2 linked regions of the Drosophila melanogaster genome follow. The protein of the gene in region 2 interacts with the protein of the main gene of each other region in a pairwise test. Each region holds a gene or a part of one and is shown on either strand. Other genes may lie near its edges.

What was found.
Region 1: the proteins of prtp (region 2) and drpr interact in binary tests that used the Drosophila melanogaster proteins (3 or more experiments, as listed by UniProt).

The regions. Positions count from the first base shown.
Region 1 is NT_037436.4:1,726,523-1,733,065, forward strand, and holds the start of drpr (draper), read right to left. Parts: upstream 4,586-6,543; 5' UTR 4,003-4,585; intron 1-4,002. Other genes in the region: Oseg4 (outer segment 4), read right to left, coding at 4,806-4,998, 5,067-6,543. UniProt on the Drosophila melanogaster protein: Receptor which is involved in the phagocytosis of a variety of cells including apoptotic cells, severed and pruned axons, degenerating dendrites, salivary gland cells, germline cells and bacteria.
Region 2 is NC_004354.4:11,713,861-11,722,324, reverse strand, and holds prtp (pretaporter), read right to left. Parts: upstream 5,570-8,464; 5' UTR 5,511-5,569; exon of another isoform or gene 5,505-5,510; intron 5,358-5,504; exon of another isoform or gene 5,276-5,357; 5' UTR 5,252-5,275; coding exon 5,061-5,251; intron 4,336-5,060; exon of another isoform or gene 4,093-4,335; coding exon of another isoform or gene 4,091-4,092; intron 3,958-4,090; coding exon 3,555-3,957; intron 3,494-3,554; coding exon 2,837-3,493; 3' UTR 2,431-2,836; downstream 1-2,430. Other genes in the region: Tango10 (transport and golgi organization 10), read right to left, coding at 1-74, 142-1,126, 1,298-1,663. UniProt on the Drosophila melanogaster protein: Possesses thioredoxin activity. Acts as a ligand for Drpr and is required for the phagocytosis of apoptotic cells. Binds to the extracellular region of Drpr and augments Drpr tyrosine phosphorylation.

The DNA.
Region 1 (6,543 bases), on a different chromosome or scaffold from region 2:
ATGAAGCACGGGCCAGCCATGTCTGGTCAGTTGGAAAGTACGTACAATTAACTGGGGGATTGTCGTGATCCACAATCTATATTTATATTGCAAAGATAATTGTTGGTTTCATTTCTTGCCAGCGAGAAATCTGATTCACTTAATCGCACGGCAGGTGCTCCCTTAACTCATCAGAAAGTGGTGTTTGTCAAGGCCGTCATTAGCAAGAAATCGCGTGATGAACTGCCAACGGCGCCAAATAAATTTTAAACGAGAAATTGTTCGAAACCCAGTGTTAATAGAACGTTCACGTTTTAGAGCAGATCGTGAATGTGTTCGCCCTCTTAGATACATATTACAATCCTTAAGATAGCCGAAACGATAATATACAACTGGGGCAATATAACCTAAAGTAGAAAGAGATAACCATTTGGCATACCCCTCGACTTTGCTCAAGATTTTACAAGTGATAAGGGTGGATGATAAGACCGCCGCAGTCATTCTCATCCATTACAACAGCGATGAGGTTCACTGATATTTGTTCTGTTGTAGGTGACTAATTCAGTCTCTCTATATATAAGCAGATCCACGGAACGGAAGGTGCGTAATCCGGTCATGGACAAAGACTAATAGAATAATACCAAATCATCCCGTAACATCATACAAATTTACGATGGACAACGAAATCGTGTGAACCAAACAATCCGGTCTAATTTAATTTGCAATTTGAATGCTAAATCTTTCATTTTAACGATTAGCAGAGTCCACGTTTTTCAAACAAAGTATAAACCTTTGGAATCAAAAATATTAACCATAAACTAGGGTGTTACTCTAACCCATTGCCATTAAGTTTCATTTTGCCACTCAATCTTCCCTTCCGCATATGTAGATCATATTAAAATGCGAACTTGCACGAGACAACGAGCTTACATTTGCAATTTACTTATTTGTTTACATGCCTGATTGGTGTTTTAATGAGCTAAATGAATATGTCGTGGATGAGTCACCTTAGGTTAAACAATGCTAGACTATAGTCTATAAACTATACGGATCTGTTAGTTGTATGTATAATAGGCGAGTGTGCGAGATTTTTCAATGGAAAACGTGTTCGGCACAGTTTGTTTTATCGAGTATCGAATCCATGCACCATTCATCGATACCGCATACCCAGCATCTGTTCCAATGCTGAGTCACTCGGATTTCATTCACAAAAGTCTGGCTAAGGCTCGAACTTCGGGTCAATCTACCGCTCAATTCGCAGGTTTGTATTTCAGACCTTTCCCAATATGTGTGTACTTTTGGCACACCTCATATTTATCATACCTCGCCCTTATCTGCGCCCAGTATTGGACAAGCAGAAACAACACGATGAGGCACACTGATAGTGGTTCTTAATCGGAAGGGGTCAACGAAAAGTTGAGGGAGAACCATAAAATGTTAGCAAAGGTAATAGAAGATTGATTAGAAGTAAGTTGCGAGTCCGTTTCCGCTGGCAATCTGTCTATAATGTATACATATGTAGGTACTTATATATGACTAATTTCCTGATTTTCGATGAAAGCTTTCGAAAGAAAAAAACAAAACAAAAACAAACCAAAGAAAATCTGCGAAATACTTTCGGACTAAGGAGAAAGCTTTGTTGTTAAAAAAACTCAATGGCATTCGTCTATTTCATTCAATTAGAATGATATGTATTTTATAAAGTATAAGCATTGCCTATTTTCGTTCCAATTAAACCTCCATCAGAGCTAAGAGTAGGTCTTATATTCTTCAAGTTGTGTGTATATATTTTGTGATGTATTTTCAATTGATTCAGCACAGTGCATATGTAAACATCTGGATTTGACTTGGATTACTATAATCTTAAGCATAGGGGGAAAATGAGCCAGCTATTCCCCCAACTTCAAGTACTGCGCACTTGATAAAGGCTAAACAAAGATTGTCGCTTCCCGCTTTATATAAACAGAATTATTCTACAAAGGAGGAGCCCTCACTTGAGCTGTACTTTGGATAGCGAAATCAAAGTCGAGTTTACTGAATCCACAATACACATCTCCAATAACCGCAACGCATATGTTTGGCGTTCAGTGGGCAATTTAACGCCTTGGCGAGGCGACAAAGCACATTTGGCAAAAACGATTATTAAGAATAATAAACGATTTCAATGGCAAGAAATAGATTTGGTATAAAAACAAGTTGTTCTGGCCCAGGAAATGAAATTATTGAAAGAATATCAGTTTGCACGAGGTCTAGGGTCTTACATTTGTGAACTACGTAAATGCTAGGCCAATCAAAACTTTCAGTGAACAGTTTAATTAAAGCAAAGAGGCAAAGGGTTCTCAAACGTTATTATTTTGGGATGGATGTTAGCTGCCATTATGAAGTATCAGTGAGAAACAGTGATTTCAGCTGTTTCGTATTCATTTCACAAGTGAGCCAAACACTCAACACCTCAGTTTGTATTGGCCAATTAGCGGGCGAAGCTCGGATTTCTAGCCCGAATTTGGATAGAGCTAGAAGCTTTCTCGATTGATTCAGCGAAGAGAACCGATTTCAGCTGAAAACCAAGAAAACATGTGTATATTATTCTAGTGGAAAGGCACCCACACATTGCAATGCAGACAGACGAACAAGAATTAAGCATAATCATCAGCAAAAGCGAAATGCACTTGCAACAATACGGAGAAAGCAAAGAAAAATGTTGGATAATGCAAACCCAAAGCGAAAAGATAGAGAACAGAGAATGTCGTAATCATAAGGGGAAAACTAACATCCCGACTCATGGGTTGCTCTCTAACCACCGCCACATTGGACAAGAAATCCCAGGAGGTTTCATCCCAGCCACTCCCTGCCACTCCTCCACCCAGCATTATCAATAAAGCTGAGTAATCATGGCGACGACAAAGCCCGGCTCCATAAAGGAACCTAAACAGACATTGTGACATGTACGGCATGGTATGATATGATATGATACCGAGGGTGGGGAGAGTGCACCTCTGAGTGCCATTTCAGTTTTTAATTTTGCAATGGCTTGTGGGACTTTTCGCTGTGCATTGCATTTCGAAGCTCGTGTCCTAAGCAGGCGTCATTGTTCATTAAATCACGTATGATAATAAAAATCAAGTTCCATTGCCAGTGTCAGAAATATAAGGTTAAGCTTAAAATCGCTTGGTTAAGGAAACTGTGTGAAAAATAAAAATGCTTTGTATGGGAAATATGATCGCAGTTTATTCCATACTTATTTAATGAATTCTATAAAAAATAAGAACGGTTTCTACATATATCTTAATTTGTGTGCACCCCCATATTCAGAAGTAATATGAAATATCGCTGAACTGATACCTTAATCAGTACTCATAAAGAATTAAACGCAAAAAAATTTTTTGCGACTTGATCTAAATTATAAACGGCTATTATTGTTATTTATTTTCGTGACGATGCATCGACTGTATTTTAATGTGTGCGTTAGTTAGGCAATTTCGATGTGTGTGAGTTTATGCTGGCTGGGTTTTCATTTGATCCGTTGGCGTTGTTGTTGTTGCGGCTGTGACAGCTGGAAGCTTCAGCAGCAATCTGGAAACTGGAAAGAATCCACAAGATGCGGGTTTCCAGGGAGCGAGGTGCTGGTCGCAGGGGGTCGATGAAAGAGAAGTTTGCCGATTTGCTGCCAATTCCCCGAATGACAGATATAAAGATACATGCATGAGATACAAAGAAGAAGAAGTCGACGAAAGCGCAAAACTAAAGCCAAAGAAAGGCCATTAAATTGTGCGAAAGAGAAACCAGAACAGGTTTAACTGTTCTTGGTGTGCGCCCGATAAAAGCGCTAATTGACACGCACACAAGTGCACTACTGCGGTCATAAACAAACCGCTCGTTGGGAAAGAAGAAAGGTGGAAGGGAAAGAGAGCTGACAAAGCTAACCAGGCGAAATTGCACATTTAACAGAAGAAAACTTATTTTTAACAACATAACAATGACTAAAATTAACGTTAAACTGCCACGATTGGGGTTAAAACTCACCTTGGCAAGAAGCACGGTGTAAACTGGTTTTCGGTTCTCACTCAAAACAAACCAAGAATGCACTCGCAATCGAATTCCACTCAATTTACACGTTTACGAAACTTTGGCCATTAAAACCTCGAGAGGATTTGTATTTTTAAATGCTTACAGCACCTTACCACATATATATATAGCTATATATATAAATTTGCTATTGTTTTTACTTTCTCACCATCCACAAAAACTTGTTTTCGTTGTCGCTACTCTCTATTTTGGCACTCTACTCGCAACTGAGCTGATTTAGCAATTAAAATGCAACCTCTTTAAATAAAAACAATTACTTTTCGTGCACTCCACTAACGACAACAATAAGGACAAACGGGCGCGACGCACAACAACGCAATTCTTTAATGCACTTAAGTATTTTCGTCGGTCAATTGGAGCTCGTTTGGTTTTCGCAAGCACCGCAATTACTATTTACTTTATTTTATATTTGCGTACGCACACCACCGCACGAAGCAGAAATTTATTTAACTTATTTAAAATTCAGCAAGAAACGGACAACCGACTTACTTAGCTGCACTCGCCAGTGTGACCGCTTTGCGAGTGTTGGATGAGCTAGTAGTGTGGCCCTAGCGCACTCCCCAGGAAATACTCACTGTGAACAGTCACTCTTTCCACTTATAACACTTTTCACTTGAAAATAAATTTGAATTCTATCTTAAAACTACATTGTTTATTTGCGGAGTAGATACGCCTGTACCACCTGGGATAAGCAGAATGAAAAACAGCTGGAGTAATTAAAACACTAGTCCCCGCTCATTTCAGATCTCCACCGTCATGGACACGATCAAACTGTGGCACAGTGGGCAAGTTCGGTGCCTGGAGATCTCGGTGGGAGCTGCGCAGTGGTGGCAGGTGGTACAGATCCATATGTTGTTCGTCGGCTGGGTGATGGGTTTCCCGGAGGAGATGCACGCCGGGAAGCGAGCATTGCACTCGGGGCAGGAGGGGGAGCTGAAAGGATCGGCATTCCATGAGTATCATCATTATAATCCAGCTTCTGACGTCGACCCTTCACTTACCTATCTGGCACGGGCACTCCGCAGGAATAGCAATCCACCCTATCGCCAGTGGTGTCCTCCGGATCGTACTTGGCGAAGATCCCAGCCGCCAACTCCTCGTACCGTTGAAGGGTAGCCTCGGGAAGATGAGCCTGTTGCTCCAACTTCATGAAAGCCTTGGAGCAGGTTCCGAAGGCCCGATCCGCACAGCTGGCCAGTGCCAACAGGCTGTAGATGTGCTCTGGAGGCAGGACGTCCTCGTAGTCGCGCAGCCTCACCGCAGTGACCACCGCACTGTGGACGATCCCGAAGCGAAGCTGCCTCTGGGCTAGGAGCATGAAGTGGTAGGCCTCGGCGCAGTGCCAAAGCCTCTCGATGGCGGCCGCATCCTCCAGGGCAATGGAGTCCAGTAGGGTGTTCCTGCCGCTGGCGTAGTCGATCTCCGTCGTGGCCACAGCCTTGAGGTGCTCCTCGGCCAGCAGAGCAGCCAGCACGTACAGCTTCTTGATTCTCAGCAGCGGAGCACGCTTCTCTTGCTCCCGTTCCGCCATTTGAGAAAGCAGGCGAGCTGCATCTAGATGACGCCCAGCATTCCGCTGCATCTCGATGGCTTCCTTGAGGCGTCCCTCCTGGAGCAACTGTGCCGCGTGCTTGGCTATGAGCGTTTGCACCTGGGGCAGCTGGAACCTCTGGGCCAGCTCAACAGCCTCGCCCCACTGCCGGAGATTAACGCAGGTGGCGACGGCGGCCTTCTGGTCGCCGAATCGAAGATGGGCTTGAACAGCCTCGGAGCACATGCCCACGGAGGCCAGCATCTCGGCCAGCTTCGGAAGCAGCGGGCTCTTCTCCGGTAGCCGTTCCACGCACTTTTCCAAGTCGTCGAACTGCTCCAAGTGGTACAGAGCCTCCATGTAACCCTCCAGGTAGTGGGACTTCTCGTAGTATTCCCTGGCACTCTCCCAGGAGCGCAGGTTGGCGAAGTGGTGGCCAATCTCCCGCCAAGCGATCTCCATCTGCTGGTCCGACACTCCCGATCCTCCCATTCTGTACAGCTGCACCACGCGAAACCAATCGCAAAGGGTCATGCGCAGCTCTATGGCCAGATCGCGACGATCCGCGTCCAGGTAGAGCTTCTCCGCCTCCTCGAACTCTCCGTAGAAGGCTGATATCTCCGCCCTCTGCAGCTCCTTGGAGTGTATGGTGCGCAGTCTCTTGACCAACTTAATGCCCGGGTAGTGGGCACAACGGACAAAGGCGTTCTCCGCCGTCTCCAGTTCCAGTTTCTTCAACGCAGACTCCGCCAGCAGTCGCCAGAGCCTCGGATGCGGGTTGTCCTCAATGAACTGCTTGGCATCCTCCAGTCCCACGTGCTCCAGTAGATCGTCGGTATCGCGCAGGGACTTTACCCTCAGCTGAATGATATGCGAAAAATTCTGCAGCTCACCCACGCTGATTATGTCGTCCAGCAGGACACTGGTGATCTCCAAGTCCTCGAAGG
Region 2 (8,464 bases):
GCCCCATACCATTTTGGCCTTGTTATACCTAACGCCTCGCGGGAAAAACTCGATTTCCCATGTCATGCAGGGATCTGGCGATTAAGTAATCGTTAACTTATTCTGTATATCAATCGAAGTCAGCTATCGGCCACTACTTACCGTCCTCCTCAGTCTCGGCAATGTGTCGCTGCGAAAAGAAGCAGGTCACATAGTTCTTATAATCCTCGATCGCGGTAAAGTTGTGCACATCGATGTCGACGCTCCAGGTGTCGTTCCAATATAGCCGCGGCGTAAACTGCAGCTTACCCGATTCGGTGGCTCGCACCTCTCGCACCCGATCCTCATGGCCCGATTGATAGCTCATGCCGATGGCAATGCGCTCGACGAGGAACTCTTTGTGATACTCGACCAGCGGATCCATTAGCAGGTGTGAGAGCTGGCGCGGCGTCATCATGCCGAAGCGTATGTGGGACACAGTCTGTTCGATCAGTTCCATGAAACCGCCACTGCCAGTGGCCTCCATCTGTTCGCGACGATGCAGCAGCCACGTCTGCAGGATGTCAAACAATTTGTACTCGCTGGTGACAACCAGATCGTTCTGCTGCAACAGCAGTATCAGTATGGCCGGGTCCATTTCAACAAAGTCCCGCGACTCGGCAACCATCTCGAGGTTCCATTTGAGAAACCGCTTGAGTGTTTCGGTGAGATCGTTGTGGGTGGGCGTGAAGGAGAGCGTATATTGCAGCCAGGACACAAGATAACCGCTGGTGGCCGCCTTGGCCACGTGCTTGTTCATGTAGTCCACGCAGAGATCGATCAGGTCGCGTATATTGTACTTGTCGCTCAGCGCCAGCATTGGCATCACCGTCTGCAGCGTGACCTCGATTTGGCCAACGTATAGGTACTTGATGAACTGCGGAAACACCGCCGAACAGCAGGCTTCCTCGTGCAATTCGATCACGTGCTTGCTGCACTCGTTCCACTCCGGATTCATTAGCATCACCTGAAAGACGTCGCTGCTGGCACAGAGGATGACGCGGTGGGCGGGAAACTCCTTGCCGTCCACCAGTAGCACTATGTCCGACATCAGCTGTTCGGCGTACAGGTTGGCGATCTTATTGAGCACACTATTCGCATCGATCATCTAGATGGGTAAGATTTGATCAGGATTAGGGCACATTCTCCCAGGATCAACTTGACTTAATACTATGGTCTGAGCTAGTCCCCACTCATAGTGGACAAAATCAATAAATGTTGATAACACACTTGGCTGGTAATCTGGCAAATAAGATCACATTTTTGGCGTTGTACCCACCGTGCTGGCTTCATCCTGGCCTTCTTCCGTTTCGCGACACTTGCGCCGCTTGGCGTCCAGATCCTCGCTAGAATTAAGTCCTTTCGCTGGGCTCTCGCTGGTTCCATTGGCATTAGCTTGGTTATTAATGGCTGCATCACCACCTGCTGCTCCTCCAGCTGCCTCGCCAGCCAGGTCCGCAGCAGCTGCTCCGCCCCCGGGACCCCCGCCCGGACCTGCACCAGCACCTCCACCGCCAGCCCCGCATCCGCCGCCACCGCCAGCACCACCAGCACCATCAGCGCCACCAGCCGCTCCGTGCGCACCACCAACACCGCACACTCCACCGGAGACTGGCGCTGCTCCGCCGTTACCGTTGTCGTTCATCGGGAAACGGGGATATTAGGTATAGACTGGCACCCGGCTAGGGATTTGTTCTGCGCTGACAACGTGCACAAGGACAACCTACGGGACGGCTTCGTAAGGACGAGCCAAAGACACGGCAAAAAGTCTCACTTCAAATGCAAAAACAACGACAGACAGATGCAGACACGATACGATTTATATCGCAGCAGCAGTGTGCCAGGCATGGATTGCAAACAGCAGGGCAGACCGATGGCACTTCATATGCGATATATGGATGGATTCGTCGCATCCGTAATAATTGTATTCTTGTGGATCCGACAAATGCAATTTCATTTTCAGTTGTATTTTCCCGGGTTCCGCAATTTTAGATAAAAATAACACAACATTTAATTAAGTGCCATATAAATACATTTATCCATTACGTAGATCTGGCAGCCCAAATTAAAATACTTGAAACTTCCCGTTTTCGATGACTCGACTAGATCTGTAATCGATAAATTGTTATCGACAACAGCGCGCGCTGCTAAAATTTCAAATCAAAAAAACCTGTCTGCTCCACTATTAAGTGGCATCAAAATCTAAATGGATTTTAAAGTGTGTTAAACAAATATTTAAAGAACGCCAATAAGTCAGCTTAAAAATTTGCATACTCCTATTTATTCGAAAAACCCACAAACATCTGTTTTTTAGCTCTTCTCAGAACATTATATAGTGGTTTTTCCCAAACAATTATTCAAATAAACCATATTGTACAGATAATAATAAAATACTTTAAACAGCAGCCTATTGTTTTCCAATTGATATTTATTAGCTTTGTGTTGACAAATTTTCCTAAAACGTAGGCTACTCAAAATGACTTTAAAATTGAAATGTAAGTTCGCTAAATGGCTTATCATCGCGCACACAGTCCCGTGCCCCATTTACGTAAACACTAAACAAATAAGTATAAAAAAAATTCTACAAAAACAGCTAAGGAAGAGGGACAAAAACGAAAAAAAAGTAAAAGGAACTCAGATTGAATTTATCAATTTCAGCTAGCGCGTTGTCGTTTGGGTGTTGTTGGATATATTGATTAAATGCGGACTCCTCACAGAGGTTTATGCTGGAGAAAGAAAAATTACGATTACAATTAATTTGGCGGGCGATTATTTGATCATTCGACTACTGCTGATTCCCTGTGAACCGGCAGATGCTTTAGAGCTCGTCGTGGCCGAGGAACTTCTTCAGATAGGCCTGCAGCTCCGGCAGTGAGCGGCTGCCTTCGTACTCGTTCTGGCGCTGACCATTCTTGTAAAGGAAGAGAGTTGGATAGCCCTCCACCTGCTGGTCGATGCACACTTGCTTGTTCTCCGGCGCCGTGCAGTCAACCTTGGCAATTTTCACGGAACTCTGAGCCTGGTGCGTTTCCGTGGCCAGCTGCTCCCAGGTGGGTTGCAGCTTCTGGCAGTGTCCACACCACGGAGCATAGAACTTAATGAAGGCAACGCCCTCGGCAATGGCTTGGTCGAACTCGTCCTCGCCAGTCAGCTGTTGTGGAGTCAGCTTCTTGGCTGCGTCCTCCTCGCCGGCAACCTCCTCGATAACCACCTTCTCATCGCCGGCCTCGCCAGCGGTCTTCTCCAGTGGCACGCCCACCATTTTCTCCACGTACGTTTTCAGCGTGGACAGATCGCGAGCACCCGAGTACTTTTCAATCTTTTTGCCATCCTCGATCCAGAGAAGAGTGGGATACCCCTTGACCTCAAAGTCCTGGCAGATGGAACGGAACTGGGTGCAGTCGATCTTCGAGATAGTTACGGTAGGCTCTTTAATCAGCTCCTTGGCCAGGTCCTCCCACGTGGGTGCCAAACGCTGTACGAAAAGGATGCCACAGTTAGGCATTTTAGGCGAGAAGGCATTGTATTCGGCTTACCTGACAATGACTGCACCAGGGTGCAAAGAATTTGACAAAGTGATTGCCGGTGGACACGTGCTTGGCAAAGGTGTCTTCGGTAAGGTCAACCACCTTGCCAATATTAAGGTTCTCGACCTGCTCGCGCTTGACCTCGCCCAGATCCGCCTCAGCGGGTGCGCTCAGTTCCTTATTGATGAAATCGGTAATGGCGGGCAAGTCGCGAGTGCCCTTAAACTTGACCGATTCCTCTTCGCCCAGCTTAAAGAGGCGCAGTGTGGGATAGCCGGTAACCTGGTGCGTGGCGCAGAGTCCCTGGTGCTTGGTGCAGTCCACCTTGGCGATGATCACCTTGGGGTTATCCACATTCATGATCTCGGCCAGCTGTTCCCACAGCGGCTGAATACGCTTGCAATGGCCGCACCTACGATTAAAAGATGCCATATGAAATGGATACGAATTCTGTATGACGCACATCTAACAAACCATATTCAACACCTAATCTATTGCGATTAAATTGATTTTGAAATAGGAATCGATAAATCGGTCAAACTCACATTGTTTTCCCCGTCCAAATACAAAGGAACACAAAACAATGAACAGCGATAAGACTTGGCGCTTTGTCCCGAACAAAGAGTTTATCATCTGGTTGCTAGAGCCGCCGAATCGCATTTCGAGCTTCCTTAAACTCCCTCCTCTAATCGCAGGGCACTTTCTAGCATCATAATTGAACCTAATCAAATTAGCTCATAGGCATTGCGATGGCTTCTTGATAAGACGTGAGAGCCGGGCGCTATGAAAACTATAATAGTTGCCGAAATCTGGAGTATTTAGTTTGTCAATCAAGGGGGACACCAAAGCCCCTTTGATCGTCTTATCGGCGAACGTGCGATTTGCTCGACAGACATGACGAATCTTCAATTCTCCGGATCTTTAGTTTTTGACCAAATTGCCGGGGTCGCGAATTTATGTCACTCACGATCGTCAGGTAAATTTCTAACACGCCGAAATATACAAATTTTAACAAAATGTATGTTCTGGTTTTCAGATTCCAATTCTTTAGGATTTATGAGGGTACATATTTCGCTATTTTTGCAATAATATGAATTTCTCTATTGGAAATAATTGTTTTTTTAGGATTAGCAGTTCATATTATTAATACTACAAATAAAGTTGGCAATTGTAAAATTGCTAAATAAATACTTATTCACGCTTTTTAAGACCATTTAGACCATTTTTGGTGAGCTAAATTTCATTTATGTAAATACTTGTTGATTTTTAACAGGCATAGGCTAATCTGTTTCATTACAAGAAAATTGCCAGAAATTGAATGAAAGTGAAAACCAAAACACCCACTGATAATTATGTGTGCGTGGCTTGGTCACATAAAATAGACGACCTATGTGGACCGCCGCGATTCGCCGGCAAAAGTTGGCCAATTTGGGACGGCGATTTTTTATTTCGTTCAGGTTGTAAGCGCAGGGCGGAATGGAGGGGTTGAGGAACCCAAATCGAATTGCAACTCACCATGGAGCAAAGAACTTGACGAAGACATTGCCGCCGGCAATCGCAGTGTCGAAGGTTTCTGGGTCCAGTTCCACGGTGAACTGCTTGTCCTGTTTGCCGGTGTCCTCCTCCTGGGACGCACGGGTGATGGGCAGGAGGGGCGACAGGAGGAGGCCACACACGGCAACGGATAAAATGGACCTGGTCAACATGATGCACGGAACGCTTGGAGAGATCTGAAAGTGTTGGGGGACCACGTCCGGATACAAAATAAAATTTCGATGAATAGGACTAGAGATGCCAAAAAGGGCAATCGATAGACAGGCAAGGCCAGCTGATCATCGATTTAAAAAAATATACACATGTTGTTAAGGGGAACTATATATTAATAAATAACAATGAAATGGAATTATGTTCGTTTTTTTTTAAGAATTTAATTTTTAGTCACAAAAAATATATAAGTACAAGTACATCATCCTCTTCAAGTTTAAAACAGTCTGGCACCGGTAAAAGGTTAATCTGGCAACTTTGAACAACCACTTGTGTGTATTGGTGCGTGAACAGCGAGAATGGCAAAATACAAAAACGAGCGAGTCGCACACACAGAGACGTAGTTGATTTGGAAAGGGGCCTGTGCGAAAAAGTTGCTTGTATACCGAATGATTAATACATACAGCTGTGTCATGGCAAAGAGAGAATACAAATTCAACCACTACGAATTCGAATGTCGCTCTCCAGTGGGGATTTTAGAAAATGAATCATTATAAGTTTTAAAAAATACTCGAATTTATAATTCGAAAAACGGGTTTTGCAACAGGGAAAGCGGGAAAATGTCGCAAAACAGATGGGCATCCGCATCGAGTATCGATGCGATATATCGCACGCATATCGCCGCGAGAAAAGGAAGCTATCTGGGTCTAGCCGACGTTTTGATGCTCTATAGTGGAATATTTTCTAATAAATTAAATTTCGCTTGATCGATTTTGCAGCAATTGATAAAAGCTTATTTCAGTAGATCATCAAATTGGAAAGCCAATCGCACTGAAGTACATATGAAACCATATAATTGATCATATTGATAATGTATTAGATAGGATTGCCGCTATCTGAAAAAGTGATAATGCTCTATACAAGGGTATAATGAACGAATGGCAGGCACATGGAAGCCACAAACAGAAACAGCAAAATTGCAGCTGCTATGTATGTTGCTCGACGAATAGGGTAAAAACGGCAACAGCGAATGATGGCGGCAAAGGCAAACGAGCGATAGGTGAACTGAGGGGCGTACCTGCGGGGGGATCGAACTTGAGTCGACTGTTAAGTAGGGTTCTGTTTTTTAAATATCAAGTTGCCGCTCGACCGCTCTCTCAGCTTAGACTTTGAGTAGCACACGTGTGTACTCGATTATGGAACCAGCAGCTGTTCTCGAATTAGTTAATGCTTGAACGCTGGAATAGTTTTGTAATATTTTAGATATTTATACATGTATAGCTACCATTTGATCACTACAGTGTCATCTGTAAATGCTCCAACCCTCAAACCGCTGAGTAATTAAGTACATTATTTAATATGTATGCATTTTTAATAAATGCGCAAGTAGACAAATTATATGCACTTAACTGCATGTAAGGGCAACTTTTTAACCAACCAACAACATATGCATGAATTTCTATCGCTCTTCGTGCTGAACCATAAATAATTTCGGTTCGCGCAAACAAGTCAGTAAAATTCAGCAAACCTGACGCACCCCCTCATGAATATGAATAATGACACGACGCCGCTGTCGCTGGCAACTGGCACAACAAAAGCAGCGAACATGCAGTGACGCGCTGTTTACACTAGAATATCGCGAATTCTTAAATTATTAACAAGTCTCACTGGAGCCCAACCCACTCACAAAACCCATTCCTTTTTGATTTAATTGAAGGACCTGAATATAGAGATAACTATTGTTAAAAACATTCTGCTGTTTGTAAAAACATGAAACATAATTGCACTAACTAAGCTAATAAGGGTAAACATTGCTAGAATATAGATATTTGTTACTCGAAGTTTCTATAACTCGAACATGGGTTTCGGTAACATGGATGTTGATCGACAAAGCCGCGTTTATGCCTCCGCTTTAAACAGGTATTCGTGTAATGACGCACTGCGCATAAACGCAGCGGCAGAGGCGATGGCAGAGCGGCGGCAGAGAGCACGGACGTCGCCGGCAAAATGAAATGGAACGCCGAGGGTGCCAGAGAGATACAGATACATTCGGGCACCGAGTGCGGGCGAGATAGAACGACAACTCCTGTTCCCGGTTCGTCGTCGTTCGTCATTCCCATATTCGCTTCTCGTATTCCCTCCCATTCCCATTCGCAATCCCAATTCCCAATTCCCGTCACACGAGTTAGCAGCACATCGCACAGCTGCATCGCTCCGCTCCGATCCTTTTTAATTTTTTGTTGTGCCTTCGGTGGCGTGCTCATTTCGAGAACAGAGTAACCCCTTTTTATTTGTCAGTTGTCAACGGCGCCCCTGCAGGCAGAAAGCAGAAACTGAAACAGCAGAGGAAGAAGAAGAAGCAGCACAGCACGGGCACAGCACGAAGCACGCAGCACAGCACAAGCACAGAGGCGAAGCGAAGCAAAGCAAAGCAGAGGCAACACAGAAAAACAGCAAAGCATTGGAGTAGTTGTTTGGATGTGGACGGAAAGGAAGACTGGCGGCGACTAACTAAAAGGTATTTGTTGTTCACCCACTCATCTGTGTGCGTGCAGTGCGCTAGTGAAAAGCTGTTCTCACCGTTTGCCAAAAAGACAAGAGGTACGAAAAAAGCACAAACAACAACAACAGCGAAAAATAGTAGCATTCGTTTATTTAATGCTCGCGTTCGTATTTTTTTTGAAAACCTAGATGAAAAAGAAATTTTCTGCTGCTGCTGTTGTTGCCTCAGTATATAAGTGTGTGCGTGTTTAAGTCAGTGTGTGTGTTGTGTGCGTGTTTTTGCCTGTGTATGAGCGCCTGGCTCTCTTTGGGTGTGCGAGAGCGAGTGTGCTGAGTAAGTGTGTGTGTGTCCATCCGTGTGCCTGTCAGTTTGACTGTGTGAGTGCATGGCGGACTAAAAAGAACCCGACGACAGCACTGTAAAAATTCGATTTGTGTGCTGTGCAAACGGCGGCGGAAGCGAGCAGATTTTTGGCAAATAGTGAGCGATTATCGGATTGAGTAAATACAACAAACAACAGAGACACGGCCGCAGCAGCAGCAGCATTAACAGTAATCAATCGAACTACCTCCCTATGCCACCGCACCGATCCCCCTTGCATATGTAATCGTAACTGTAAACCTAATTGTGTGCCTCTTTTCTTCTCTTTTCATCCACTCTCCTTTGCGTTGCTGCTTCTTCGTGCTCCCTCTCTCGCACTCGCATTCTCTCT